2 linked regions of the Caenorhabditis elegans genome follow. The protein of the gene in region 2 purifies or fractionates together with the protein of the main gene of each other region. This does not show direct contact. Each region holds a gene or a part of one and is shown on either strand. Other genes may lie near its edges.

Region 1 (6,362 bases), on a different chromosome or scaffold from region 2:
TTCTTTCTGAAATTTCATAAAAATTACTTAAAGTTAACCAGTTGCTCACTGTATTGCTCGCCAACATCTTCTCGTGATTTCCAACTCCAGAGCTCTTCGAGTGTGTCAATTGGAGAAATCGTCATCTAATTATAAATAGAATTGTAAGTCAAGATCAAGAGGCTCTGCGATATTTCAATTGATTTCAACTTTACCCTTAGCATTTCACGAAAGGAAAAACTTGAAGTTTATATCACAAAACAAATCACATATAAATTAAAATTCAAACAGATAACGATATAGCACAATTTCCAGATCCCGCAAACGAGTTGAAATTCATAAATTACTAATTTAAAAAAGGAAAATTTAATTTAAAGTTCTTTTCTGTCAATTTCATCATCTGGAATATCAGAAAGATCCATTGGTTCTTCTGGAGCAGCAGGTAGAGGTGCCACATCGACAGCAGTGCAAGCACCCATTTCTCCTTGGCAGAACTGTTTGACGGGATCCTGATGGGCGGTCTTCAGGAAACCAAGAAGCTCATCTTCGTGAGAGTCAATGAAGTCGTTGCACTAAAATTTAGAAATTTAAATTAAAAAATCAAGACTGAAGTTTTCTGCAAAAAACTGAAAAAGTTCTTAATTCTCATTAGGGATTGTTTTCTAATAATAACTAGAGTTTGGAATCCCGTGCTTGAACTTACAGCGTTTTGAAGATTATATCTCATTTTGGGAGACTCATCTCCTTTCAAATGTGTGGCGTCGTTGTGAACGTAGACTGATTTTCCAGTAATTGTATTCACCTGAAGAGAAATTTGTAAAAATCTATACAATTTATGGTTCTTACCACAAGTTTATAGTGTTTCGCATCATCACAAGCGTGCTCAATGATTTCTGTCAAATGAGATTCTGAACGAGCATAGCCGATTTCCTTGAGCCCTTTTTGATCTCCAGTTGGTGAAACTCGGAAACTTCCAACTTCGATTTTCTTTTTCGGGTCGACTGCGGCGATTTTCAGCTCGAAATGGGTTACGAGGAGGGAGCAGGCTGAAATTTTCAATATTTAAAAATATATTTTAGAAAAATCTATCAACCTCCACACTCTAATGAAGAAACCGATGCAGATTGAATACCCGACAGTGATATGAGACAAACCAGTGTAGAAACAAAATGCATTCTGAATAAATGGTTAAAAAGCGTCGATAATGACCAAGTGAAGCGGAGAGAGAGAGAGAGCAAACAATGATTGGGAGAGTGGCAGAAAGAAAAGAAAAAGAACGGTGTTTGGATAGGTATCCAGTGTTTGTGTAAATGGTACTTTTCTTCACGAATAAAACATGAATATTATTCATTAAAGTTGATTGGAAACAACGTATTCAAGAGATCGAAAATTGATAAGTTAAACATTTTTTCAATTGGGAACCGGTCGACGTACACGTGGAATAATGTCGCAGAGCCGTTGTCTGGAAATTTAATTTTAATACTATTCAGATATGAACTCTGAAATCTCGTCTCAAAGATATGTTACCCGGCCTCGTCACGTACAATTTTTTCAAAAGTAGTACTGTAGTGAAAAACTAAAGAACGCTCCGCAACAGCGAGCAGCAATGAAATTTTATTTTTGGTATTTTTCGAAAAAAAGGGAGCGAAAATAGAGAAAAATTCTGTTATCCTGTCGGTAACTGAAAATATAATTGATTTTCAAATTTTACGCTTTTTCCAAAAAAAAATTACACTTATAACTGAATGCAAATTTTAAGGATTTTAAAATCGAAATTATTTTTTAAACTTACTCAAACTGCGTTCGCTTCTTCATATTCGCTTCGGAAGGCAGATCGTGTTCTCTTTTCAAAAATCCTTCATAATCTTTCCATGTAACACAAGAAGTTCCTTGTTCTCGACCACGCAACGGGCTCAACAGAATGCCCGTGTTCAGGCAAAACGGCATCTCTCGGAGCTCATTTCTGAAATTTAATTCAATGTATTTTCAAGGATTCAGGCACTTACAAGCAATCTGTAATTGCATCTCGAAAGAATCTCGTCAATGGATCCTTCAATCGACAAGCTTCTTCATATCGTTGAACACGCATTGATTCATCTTCTCCAAGTGAAATTGATAGTGGTGTCATTGGATCGAGCTGATCGTATGGGATGTTTGCATCGCTAATTCCTGTCAAATCGAGCAGAAACTCTGGAAAAAACAATAAAAATTGATTATTGGCAAGGGTATCATTGAAATTTTTTATGGATTTTTTTTCTGAGAAAATCAAAAAAAAAGTTTAGCAATTTTACAACAAAAAAATGTTTTGTTTAAATCAAATTAGGCTTATACTGTTATCAATCAATATTATTAAGGAAAAACATATAATTGCCATCTAAAAAGGAAAAAAGGTCAACATTTAAAACTATTTTTTGAAAAAACGAAAATTGTTTCCAAATATTGGAAAAAGCCCATGGATTCTCTTTTTTTATTTAAAACTTACGAGTAATAGTTGAAACAATGGCGGATGGTAAGTTAAGAATGGCTCTTCTTTGACTATTTCCAGCTCTTCTTAAAGTATATCTCCAGATCATGCATCTCGGACGGCACGCAACACAAAAATATGCTTTTATAAACTGCTTGGTTTTGTTGAGAAGTTTTGCGTTTCTGCGGAACGTCAGCAAACTGAACACATATTGAAGATCGGCATTCTAAAATTTGGCATTTTTTCATAGAAGCTGAAACAAAAAAAAACTCACAGAGAATACACCTGTTGCTCGAATATTGTAAGAAGTTTGTTGGCAATGCGAGAGATTCATTAGACTTAAATCGATTTTATCGAATTTTGACTCTGAATTTGTGTTGGTCGTCTGTCCTACAATTGTTCCTCTCAGGTCTTTAATGTTTGACTTTAGCGCATTTAGCTGAAAAATCAAAAAATGGAATTTTGAATTCCGGGCTATCAGAATTCTGACCATAATAGACGTTCCAAGCATTGCAAACCTTCCATCAGCCGCCGATGGATTCACCATACCTTCTACCAGCGATTCCATAGAAATATCTCCGAGAAATGTGGCTTCAGATATTCCGCAACGGATGGTTCTCTCCAATGAAGCTTCATTGAGCGTTTTATCCGATGTCGACACCATCACACGTGTTCCAAGCTCGATTATATCGATTTTCTCTGAGGCAATGTTTTGCTCAATTTTTTCTGAAACAATAATTGAACTTTTAATATTTTATTGATAATTTTTTTACCCATTCGATGGATTTTTTTCATTCTTTGAGTCGTCTTAAAATCTTTAATATCTTCTTTTGCATCATTATAAGAATCATATTTTTCTCCGCCCATATAGTCCTCTACATCGACTACGTCTTCCATTTCCATCATCTCATCTTCGTATGAGCCGTGTTCAGAGCTTTTGAAAGCAAACGGAATTACTATAAAGAACATTTTTTAATTTTTGAATAAAATTATTATTTTTAAACTTACTTCTATTTGAGTTATTCATATTTTTGTGGTAAATTTCTTGAAAAAAAATAATAAAAGGAAAATAGAGAATAGAGACAAACCGAGAGAGACCAGAGAAACGTTGTCCGAGAGGAGTGCACGGCCGAGAAAAGTCCAACACCTTTTTGCGCGCTAAATTTGAATTTAATTTGCCGCACAAAAATTTTCCTCCCTTTCCAGCCGCAAAATAGAATTTTCTTGAAGTTTCACATTTCCACACGAGAAAGCTAATAAAAATAATTATGTTTATAAACAATCAAGCAATTTTTGTCCTATGCAAGTATGCATGAACCGAAAACAGCGTTGGTGTTTTTATAAAACAACATATTTACAAACTCTAGGATAGAAAAATGAAAAGAATATGACATGATTCGCTAAAAAACAATTAATATCATTGAAAAACGCAAGGCAAATGAACAAAAAAGCAGACGTGAAAATTCTAAAAAGTCTACCATAAACTTTTGCGCGCCGAGACCCATCTGAAAAATACATATGTATATAATTCATGAAAATTCCAATATTTTAATTGTCTATTATATTGCTATGTTCATGTGTTTTGAGCCTCTTCTATGCTCTCCAGAGCTCTCTGTTCGCCACATGTGTTGTGTAATTCGAAACAGCCGTCACTTTTCCTCTGTTTTTCATTTTTTGAGTGTGTGATGCTGCTTGCTCTGCCTTCTGAACTTTGCCATCATGCATTTTCGAAAGAGATAAAAAATCTTGAAAGTTGAGCATGAAGCACCCAATTGTCTCTGGTGACACTTTTCACCTCATTTTCAAATCTCTTGCGTCATTCAGCTCGAGCCATTCGTCTTTCGATTTGACCCGGTTATTTTGTACAATTTTTAGTAGAAAAAATTAGTTTTTTGGGTCCTGACACGAGCTAAAAATTTTAGTATACAGTATCTGTAAGTATTCAACCAGTTCCCACAATTTTTTGAAAACTTGTTAGAAAAACTTAAATTACTGAGAAGTCTTATTATATATCAGGAAATATGAAAACTGTCAAATAGGAAACAACTTTCTGTAAGAAGAATGAAATTCTACAGTACTCGCGGGTACTGTAGCTGAAATATTTCGCTTGCTCTAGAACCCTGATCGTCAATTAAAAAAAATTGGCTAACTCGGCAATATTTGAGAATTATTAAGTTAATCGGAAATTTCAGAAATTGAAAATTTTCAGACATTTTTTTTAAATCAATAATCACGAAATGAACGATGATAAACTACGGAGCCTATTTGCATCTCTTGCAACTCTCACACAACAAGGACCAATTCCAGGTGAGCTATTTAAGAAAATTCGAAATCGTTCTTTGTATGTAGAATCAGGCAAATGTGCCTGCTCACGCCTTGATCCCGTTATTTAGTGAAAAGTGATGTGGATCGTCGCGGGACCCACAATTTTAAAAATTCGAGTTTCAGTGCAAGCCTACAGTATGCTTGCTGGTCAACATTCTACAGAAGTTCTCGCCGAACACATGAGGCTCCGATGGCTTTCGGATGGACGCTTTGGACCAGTTGCTGCAAATATACTAATGCACATCCATAAGGTAGTTCTGTACTACGGTAACCTCAAAAACCACAAATTAAAATTCCAGTCCGATCCAAAAGACATTTCATTATCCTCAAATGTGTTGGCTCTACTACTCAACGACTACCGTAACCGGCTTTCAGTTCGAAACGATTCTCGACTTATGTTCAGGAATTGTGTGAAGACACTTTTTTCGTAAGCAATTTCCAATTTTTTTTTTCGAAAGAAACTATCGTTTTATTCCAATTTTCGAATGTTTCTTGTAGTCAGACACGCAATTTTGATATCATATGATATATCATGTTGAGGTATTGTTGAATGAGAAAGGGTGTGTGCCTTTAAAGAGTACTTTAGTTTCAAAAACTCAACACTGCAGAGCTCTGATGAATTTTTATTGATTTTTCATAGTTTCCCGAAAAAAATATGTGTATTTATTAAAAACTCAAAATAAAAAAAATAGAAATACATAAATACATTTTAACAAATCGTGAGGAAAACTATTTAAGATTTTGAAACTACAGTACTCTTTAAAGGCGCACACCTCTTTTTAGTTAACATAAGCTTGTCGTGGCGAAACCAGGGACCTTATTTTTCTCACATGAATCGTAAGTATTTGCTTGCAAAGAATATAGAAAAAAAACGCGAGAACTGGAATTTTCCAACAGTAAAATTAGTAGTTGAAATTCGATGAATTCATATTGAAATATCCGTTCAGAATGTATCCAGTATATGTGAAAATGGACGAATGTGTGTCAAAATGCTTCATAAAACCAATGTTCTCATCTTTGGATGCACTTATTGATGATGCTCCAGATACCGAAGATCTAGAGGTTTCCACAGAAACATTTTTCTGAAAAATCTAGAATTTTTTAATTTCAGACAGCCGGGATACTTCTCAGCGAGAATGGTCGCGTTCTTCACGATTTGAATTCATATCTCGTCGAACGAATCATTGTAAAATTGCGTCATAAACTTATCAGTGAAGATCCAATTGTCACTAAACATGTCCGTCAAATATTCATTCATGTGAGGAAGATCAGAGAATGATCAATTGATTATTTGATTTTAGGTGTATGATCTTTGGGCATTTGGATGGAGTGAGCTGAATATTCCTGAATGTCTTCTCACTTTGAGTGCAGAAGGGAAGCTATCGATTGTTGATCAGACACCACTTCGGAAGAATGATATCAGCAAGCAAGAGTTCGGAAGCAAAGAGAGCATTGTTTGAATATATTGAAGTAGATCCTTAATATTCCCACTTTTGGTGATTTTTAGTTTTCGGGTTTCATAAAATATAAAATTTCGGTGAAATAAAACTTCATTTCGGGGTCAGTGAAATTATACAATCTTGGGGACGAGGTT
Region 2 (5,909 bases):
CGAAAAGACGTTTAAGCTCACGTGTGTCCTGAAAAATGTATGACTGAGTTTTTTAAAAAAATTTAAGAGTGATTCAGATTAATCAAACTCGATAGTTCTAGCCGTGATTTCACAATTTCAAGTGGACGTTATTTGAAACATCAGGATATCATCAAAACATTTACCCTGACCTCGAGAGGACAGGGTTTTCAAAAATAGTTCACTGGGTCTTTTGTAAGGCCCTGAGAGTGTTATATCATATGCTGGAGTAGGATATGTGAATAGGAGACATTCTCTGAGTGTCCGTACACTTGACGGGTTCCGCCTATTGCTATTTGGTGTGCAAGGTGGCCAAACGCAATCAATATGCCTATAATGTCAATTGAAAGAAAACAACGTAGAAATGTGGATTGTATGCAAAGTATGAACCACTCATAACTATTTCCCAAGTTGCTCAAACTTACTTTTGATTTCAAATATGTTTTCACACAACGATTAGCGACTTTGTCAGCATTAAGTTTTCTCTGAATACAGTATGACAGTGGTGTTCCAACAAGATCCAACTCATAGCATTGCTTGATAACATTCCGATTCTTATCTCTTAATTTCTTGCAAGTGATAACATTTAGGTCCCTTTCAATGGTTTCACATCCCTGGACAAACATAAAGTTATCCTCATCTTCTCCTCTCAACATTTCAAACGAGTTTTTTTCGTCCAGCACACTTTGAAGAGCTTCGGAAAACTGAAATTGGAGATGCATTTGATTGGCTTCACAACAGTTGTTGGTTTTGAGTTACCTGTGTAAAACATTTGTTTTTAAACTCTTTCAAAACTCAAAACTCAAACTGAAAAAATAGATTCGGTCAAATATGTGCTGCGATGAAATCTCGAAGGAAAAAAAATAAACATATTTTTCCTGAAAATAAAAATAGACTTCTTCAAACCACCTCACGTTAATCTCAGTTTCTCAAAAAATTACCTTAAAAATATTAAAATCGACTTTTTTCTGTTTTAAAATGATCCAATAAATCTTAAACTAAATGTTTTAGGGATTATTTATCTAGAAAGTTTTTTAATAGGTGGCCGTTAGAAATTTAAAAAAAAAACTTAAAAAAATTCTTCGGCTGTTGGAAACGGCGGTAAAAGAGATTTTCAGATAAATTGAGCTAACATGGTTTGCCAATTGCACAATTTTTGAGACAAAGACATTTTTGTCAGGCTCTAGTCCCTTTTTGTCAGTTGTAACTCACATCAGTCAGATGTCTATCAATAAGATGATCCATTGTTGAACACTCTTCTTGAACATGATATGGGGCTCCAAGAACGCCAAAAAACACGAAAATCTCGAATATCAAGAGCTGAAATATGAGCTGCATAACTGAGTCGAGTGTTTTCAAAAATAGTTTTGAAAATTTGAAAACATTTTGAGAAAAGGTGGGGGAGTTGGGTCATTTCACATGACAAAAGATGACAGCTGACAAAATAATATTAGAACAAAGTTTTGTTGTTTGTTTCTCGGAAAAATATTGAGAGAAGAAATTGAGAACAGTTGTACCTGAAAAAAAAAGAAAAAAGAAATGACAAAAAAAGAGGGAAACAACAACAAAACAGCGAAGGAAGAAGAGACAATTATTTTCACTTTCAATTTTCGGAAAGATGAATCTTCTTATATTTTTGACTATTCTCCCATTTTTGCTCTTTCTATCAAAAGCTGAAAATTCTCCACTTGATTGCTCAAAAGATGATCTTCAACTTACTGTAACATGTCGTCCAAAACTTGCAAAACTCACAGATGAAATGAAGAAGAATCCATTGAATTCTGGTTTTCCATCTGTTGAAACATTGAATAAAATGTCAGGATATTGCAAGGAAGCCATGAGTTGTGTTAGTCCAGCCAAGTGTCCGGCAATCACTGAAAAAATGAGCAAATTTGCCACAATGTGCAAGACCATCGACTTCATGTCTGGACCGTATGCTCAATGTGCAGCAAAGGTGCGCTAGAATTTACAGAAATTGCAATTTAAAAATAAAGTAGCTCTACTCCGTAAAATATCTCAAAAATTTAATTTGTTTGATTTTTTCAACCCTTTTTCAGTTTTTTGAAATGCCAAGTTACTACTCAACATTCCCGTCCCATTTTAGAGTATTTTCACAACATTTATTATTGTGCTAGTCTGCAGAAAGAAAGCATTTCATAAGTCAAAATTTCCAAAGTTCGATAAACCTGTTTTCAAAATTTAACTCAAGTAAACATTTATTTCAAATTTTAGGCAAACTGGACGTCGCTAGATTTTCGAAACATACCACAAAAAATCTCGATTTTTCTATAAATCATTTTTAGAATAACTAAGTGACAGAATCATATTAAACCGGGTTCAATAATTATTAGTTTTTTAAAATGTATATTTTTGTCATAACTATTCGAGGTAGCTACCTCATTTGTGTTAAAAACTGGAATATTTCGTAGAATTTTGAAAAAATTTTGCCTTATTCGATACAAAATTAAATAATTATTCAAAAAAAAACCTCTTGGAAATGTCAAATTGAAAAGTTAAAATTTAGTAAGAGTTAAAGAAAAACCAGTAACTTCATTGAACTCTACATTTGATTTTCGACTAAAAATTGTTCTGTAGTTTTAAATGTTCAATAGTTTCAAAAAAGTCATGTACAACTATTTAAAAATAAATTAAATTACTGAAATTTCAGCCACTTGATAATTTTATTCATTTCAGCTGAAAGCAAGCAACGACAAAACAGAGTGTGTTCAATGGTATTTCAGTGACAAATCAAGAGTAAGATATTCCAGCTTTTACTGTGTTATAAAATTAAACAAATTCAGATGTCAACCGATCAAAAATGTGCTCAATTCAAAGCTAAAAAGCAATGTATTGAAAAAGATTTTGGAAAGGCGTGTGGAGATTCCACGTTGAAAAGTTTCCGCGAGGTAGTTTTAGTGTGGATTTTTGAAAATTGAAAAATGAATAAATTTAGAATATCAACTACGTCTCAAAGTTTGCTGGATGCCCTGTTCACTGATAATTAATTGTGTCTGAAAATTTTTACTAAATGCATTATGTATTGCATTTCCAGATTCTTGTTATCTCTTAGAGTCGCATTTTTCAATACTCGTGTTCTTTTTGCACATGTGTGAATAGGTATTTAAAACCGCAAACCATCTGCAAATGTAGGAATCAGGCGTGGAAACTCTTGAAGCTTGGTTTCTTTGAATGCTTGAAAATGTTCGTAGATTTTCTTTAAAATCCAATTCAAGTTATTCTTGAAACAACAGGTTTCGGAAAATATTATTTATTTTTAAGAAGTAGGCAAGCAAAAGAAAAACTTACTCAATACGGAAAGCTTTCCAATTATTCAAGCGTATATGTATACATATATATTTTCTTGATATTTATACAGATTGATAAAAAATAATTTTCCAAAAATTTGCCTGAAAGCTTGAAAAGCTTGATCAAACAAGGGGTGATTGATGCTTGATGCTAGAAAATCTGATCTTGTGCTCGATTTTCACCCCTGGTCGGAATATTATTTTTACTGAAAACAATGTCTTGGCAAATATTGGGAGTCTTGGACATAGAACGAGGAAGTTGAACTCGAGCAACTGCAAAGTCTGAATCGGATTGTTCTTTGTGCGAAAACAATTAGTGCCAAAGTGCTATTTTTCCATCAAAATTGACCAACACTAACCGCTCAAAAATATTCCCTTGCTCCTTCTTCTCCACTACCAATGTTTCATTTCTTCCCAGAACTGCCCAACCTTTGTGTAAAACTCTAAGGAACTCTGCTCCGAAAAGTTGTTTGCCTACACTGTAACAGCAGCAATATGTCCCTTGGCCTCCAGTGTTGTAATAAGTTCTTTTTTGAAAACATCCGCGGACCCTTGTGCTCTGCGGTCTCTCGGCAGAAAAAAAAGATGGACACAAGGGCTGATGTGTTGAGCAACTGTTCCCCAAACCAGAGCTTCTCCAACTTTTCCTAACCAATCACTCTTGTCAAACTTTTGTTGCAAGAATGATCGTCTTGTTCCTAACGTTCCTCACATTCTTCACATATACCATTGAATGTATTCCAAATGTTACGGTCAATGAATTTTCTGCCGACCTCCAGGTGAGAGACTCTTCTAGAAGAAATTATATTTTTTCCTTATTCTTTTTTAAAACTTGTCCCATTTTTAAATAAAAACGGCTTGTAAAAAACATTATTTAAAAACACAAGGTAATTCAAATTGTATATAACCTGAGAGCCCAAATTTGTAGATAAATTTGAGATTTACCATAACTGAAAATTTTCAAAATTTAAAATTTAATAAGAAGTTTCACTTTGATATTTATTTATCTTTACAATATTTGAATGTACAAAATTGCAACTGGAATAACTTCCAAGTTTTCAGATGAGCAAATACATTAAGCTTTTATTCTTCAGAAAGAAGGTCGTTCGGATCCTTACCTAATGTGCACAATGATTTCACAAACCCTCGGCAACTGGAAATTGTTTTTCGAAGCTCATCATTGGGGCTCACCGGAAACTTTGAACCTTACTTCAGAAGAATTCAATCAAATTAATAATATATGCGAACGTGAAGCTGTGGGTTTGGTATTTGGATACTTTCACCGCAAAAAAAAATAATCAAAAATATTACAGATTTCTAGAAGTTGCTTTTTGCCAAGACTAATGCTCAAGATTGTTTGCAAAAAAGTTGATGTACTCCAGAGTGAATTTGGAAAATGCATGAAGGATGTGAGTTTTTTACTATTTAACATTTACCTTCATTTTGATAACTATTAAACTTCAAAAGATATAGAAATCATTTTAAATTCAATTTACAAAATAATATTAGAAACATGAGATTTAAAAATTAATATATCAGAAACTTTTAGAAGTTTTAGTTACTTAAAATAAACTAGCCGTGTAAATTATTTATCCAGTTAAAAATATTTTCTTTGATTGCTTGATAAATTTGTAGCGTAGGTGTTTGTGTAAGAACGACGTAGGTGTAGGTGAAAACAATCAGGTAGGCAATTTTAAGGTATAACTGAAACCATGAATGCTGGAAAAAGTTCAATATTTTTGATTAATAATTATTTTTGAACAATCCGAAAAATGTAAATAATTTGACCATAGGTATTTAAATTTTCAACAATTTTGAAAAATATTATCACTTTCTCACAGTTGGTATGTTTCAGGTACAAACAATGAAAATCGAATCGGAGATTTTCGAATCATTTGCAAAGGATTTTAGTTTTGACGGAATAAGTAAAAAATGCAGATTGCTTCAAGACCCAAAGATGCCGACAGACATTGGCGAGACATGCGGTGAAGAGGCTCAATTGTCATTCACAAAGAAACGAAGATTACTCTATTATATTTTTGATTGCTGAGTTTGAAACTCTACTTTTTTTTAAATTTGTTCAAAACAACAAGTACAACTCCAAAATTACATGTAGCTGGTAGAGCCAGAATATCAACAAAAAAAGAAAATTTGATTGTATATAATGCAAATTTTCACAGTATTTGAATGTGTTCGAATATAAATAAAAATTAATTCAGATGAGTTCAATGAACAAGAAATCAAGAAACTTTCATCTTTTTAAACTTTACTTTTTTAGAATTACATTTTTGGAAGCACGATGCTACCTACTCCGTCTAATCTCTCTGATGGAATTGTCTCCAAATAGAAATTTCAGATTAATCAGTGTGTAGCACTAATTTATAGTAAATATCATTTTCATCGAAATGATCTAGAGTAATTTTTGAACTGTTTACTGTCTTTGAAAATTGATAGGTTTTAATCTTGTTTTCAAATATGTGGGCAATGCAGAGAATGCAAAAAAACTTGTTCTCATTCGTATTTTCTTGAAACTACTGAAAATTACCAGTTTTCATTTATAAATTATAACGAAAACAAAACAAAAAG

What was found. Proteins that work in one complex are often made in the same cells at the same time.
Region 1: the proteins of D1086.1 (region 2) and F01F1.11 fractionate together in Caenorhabditis elegans (co-fractionation; one large-scale study listed by BioGRID). This does not show direct contact.

What each region holds. Positions count from the first base shown.
Region 1 is NC_003281.10:5,868,375-5,874,736, forward strand, and holds F01F1.11 (PAP-associated domain-containing protein), read right to left. Parts: upstream 3,504-6,362; 5' UTR 3,471-3,503; coding exon 3,452-3,470; intron 3,400-3,451; coding exon 3,217-3,399; intron 3,170-3,216; coding exon 2,934-3,169; intron 2,883-2,933; coding exon 2,718-2,882; intron 2,670-2,717; coding exon 2,462-2,669; intron 2,170-2,461; coding exon 1,986-2,169; intron 1,943-1,985; coding exon 1,772-1,942; intron 1,442-1,771; coding exon 1,390-1,441; 3' UTR 1,311-1,389; downstream 1-1,310. Other genes in the region: eng-1 (mannosyl-glycoprotein endo-beta-N-acetylglucosaminidase), read right to left, coding at 28-125; F01F1.15 (DUF3456 domain-containing protein), read right to left, coding at 351-551, 683-781, 826-1,025, 1,073-1,154; F01F1.3 (MIF4G domain-containing protein), read left to right, coding at 4,681-4,750, 4,892-5,019, 5,068-5,195, 5,716-5,830, 5,880-6,026, 6,070-6,228.
Region 2 is NC_003283.11:14,097,274-14,103,182, forward strand, and holds D1086.1 (T20D4.11-like domain-containing protein), read left to right. Parts: upstream 1-1,584; 5' UTR 1,585-1,636; coding exon 1,637-1,972; intron 1,973-2,712; coding exon 2,713-2,772; intron 2,773-2,819; coding exon 2,820-2,924; intron 2,925-2,971; coding exon 2,972-3,016; 3' UTR 3,017-3,418; downstream 3,419-5,909. Other genes in the region: D1086.2 (T20D4.11-like domain-containing protein), read right to left, coding at 1-28, 444-722, 1,231-1,356; D1086.12 (DUF19 domain-containing protein), read left to right, coding at 4,007-4,102, 4,418-4,588, 4,637-4,732, 5,179-5,373.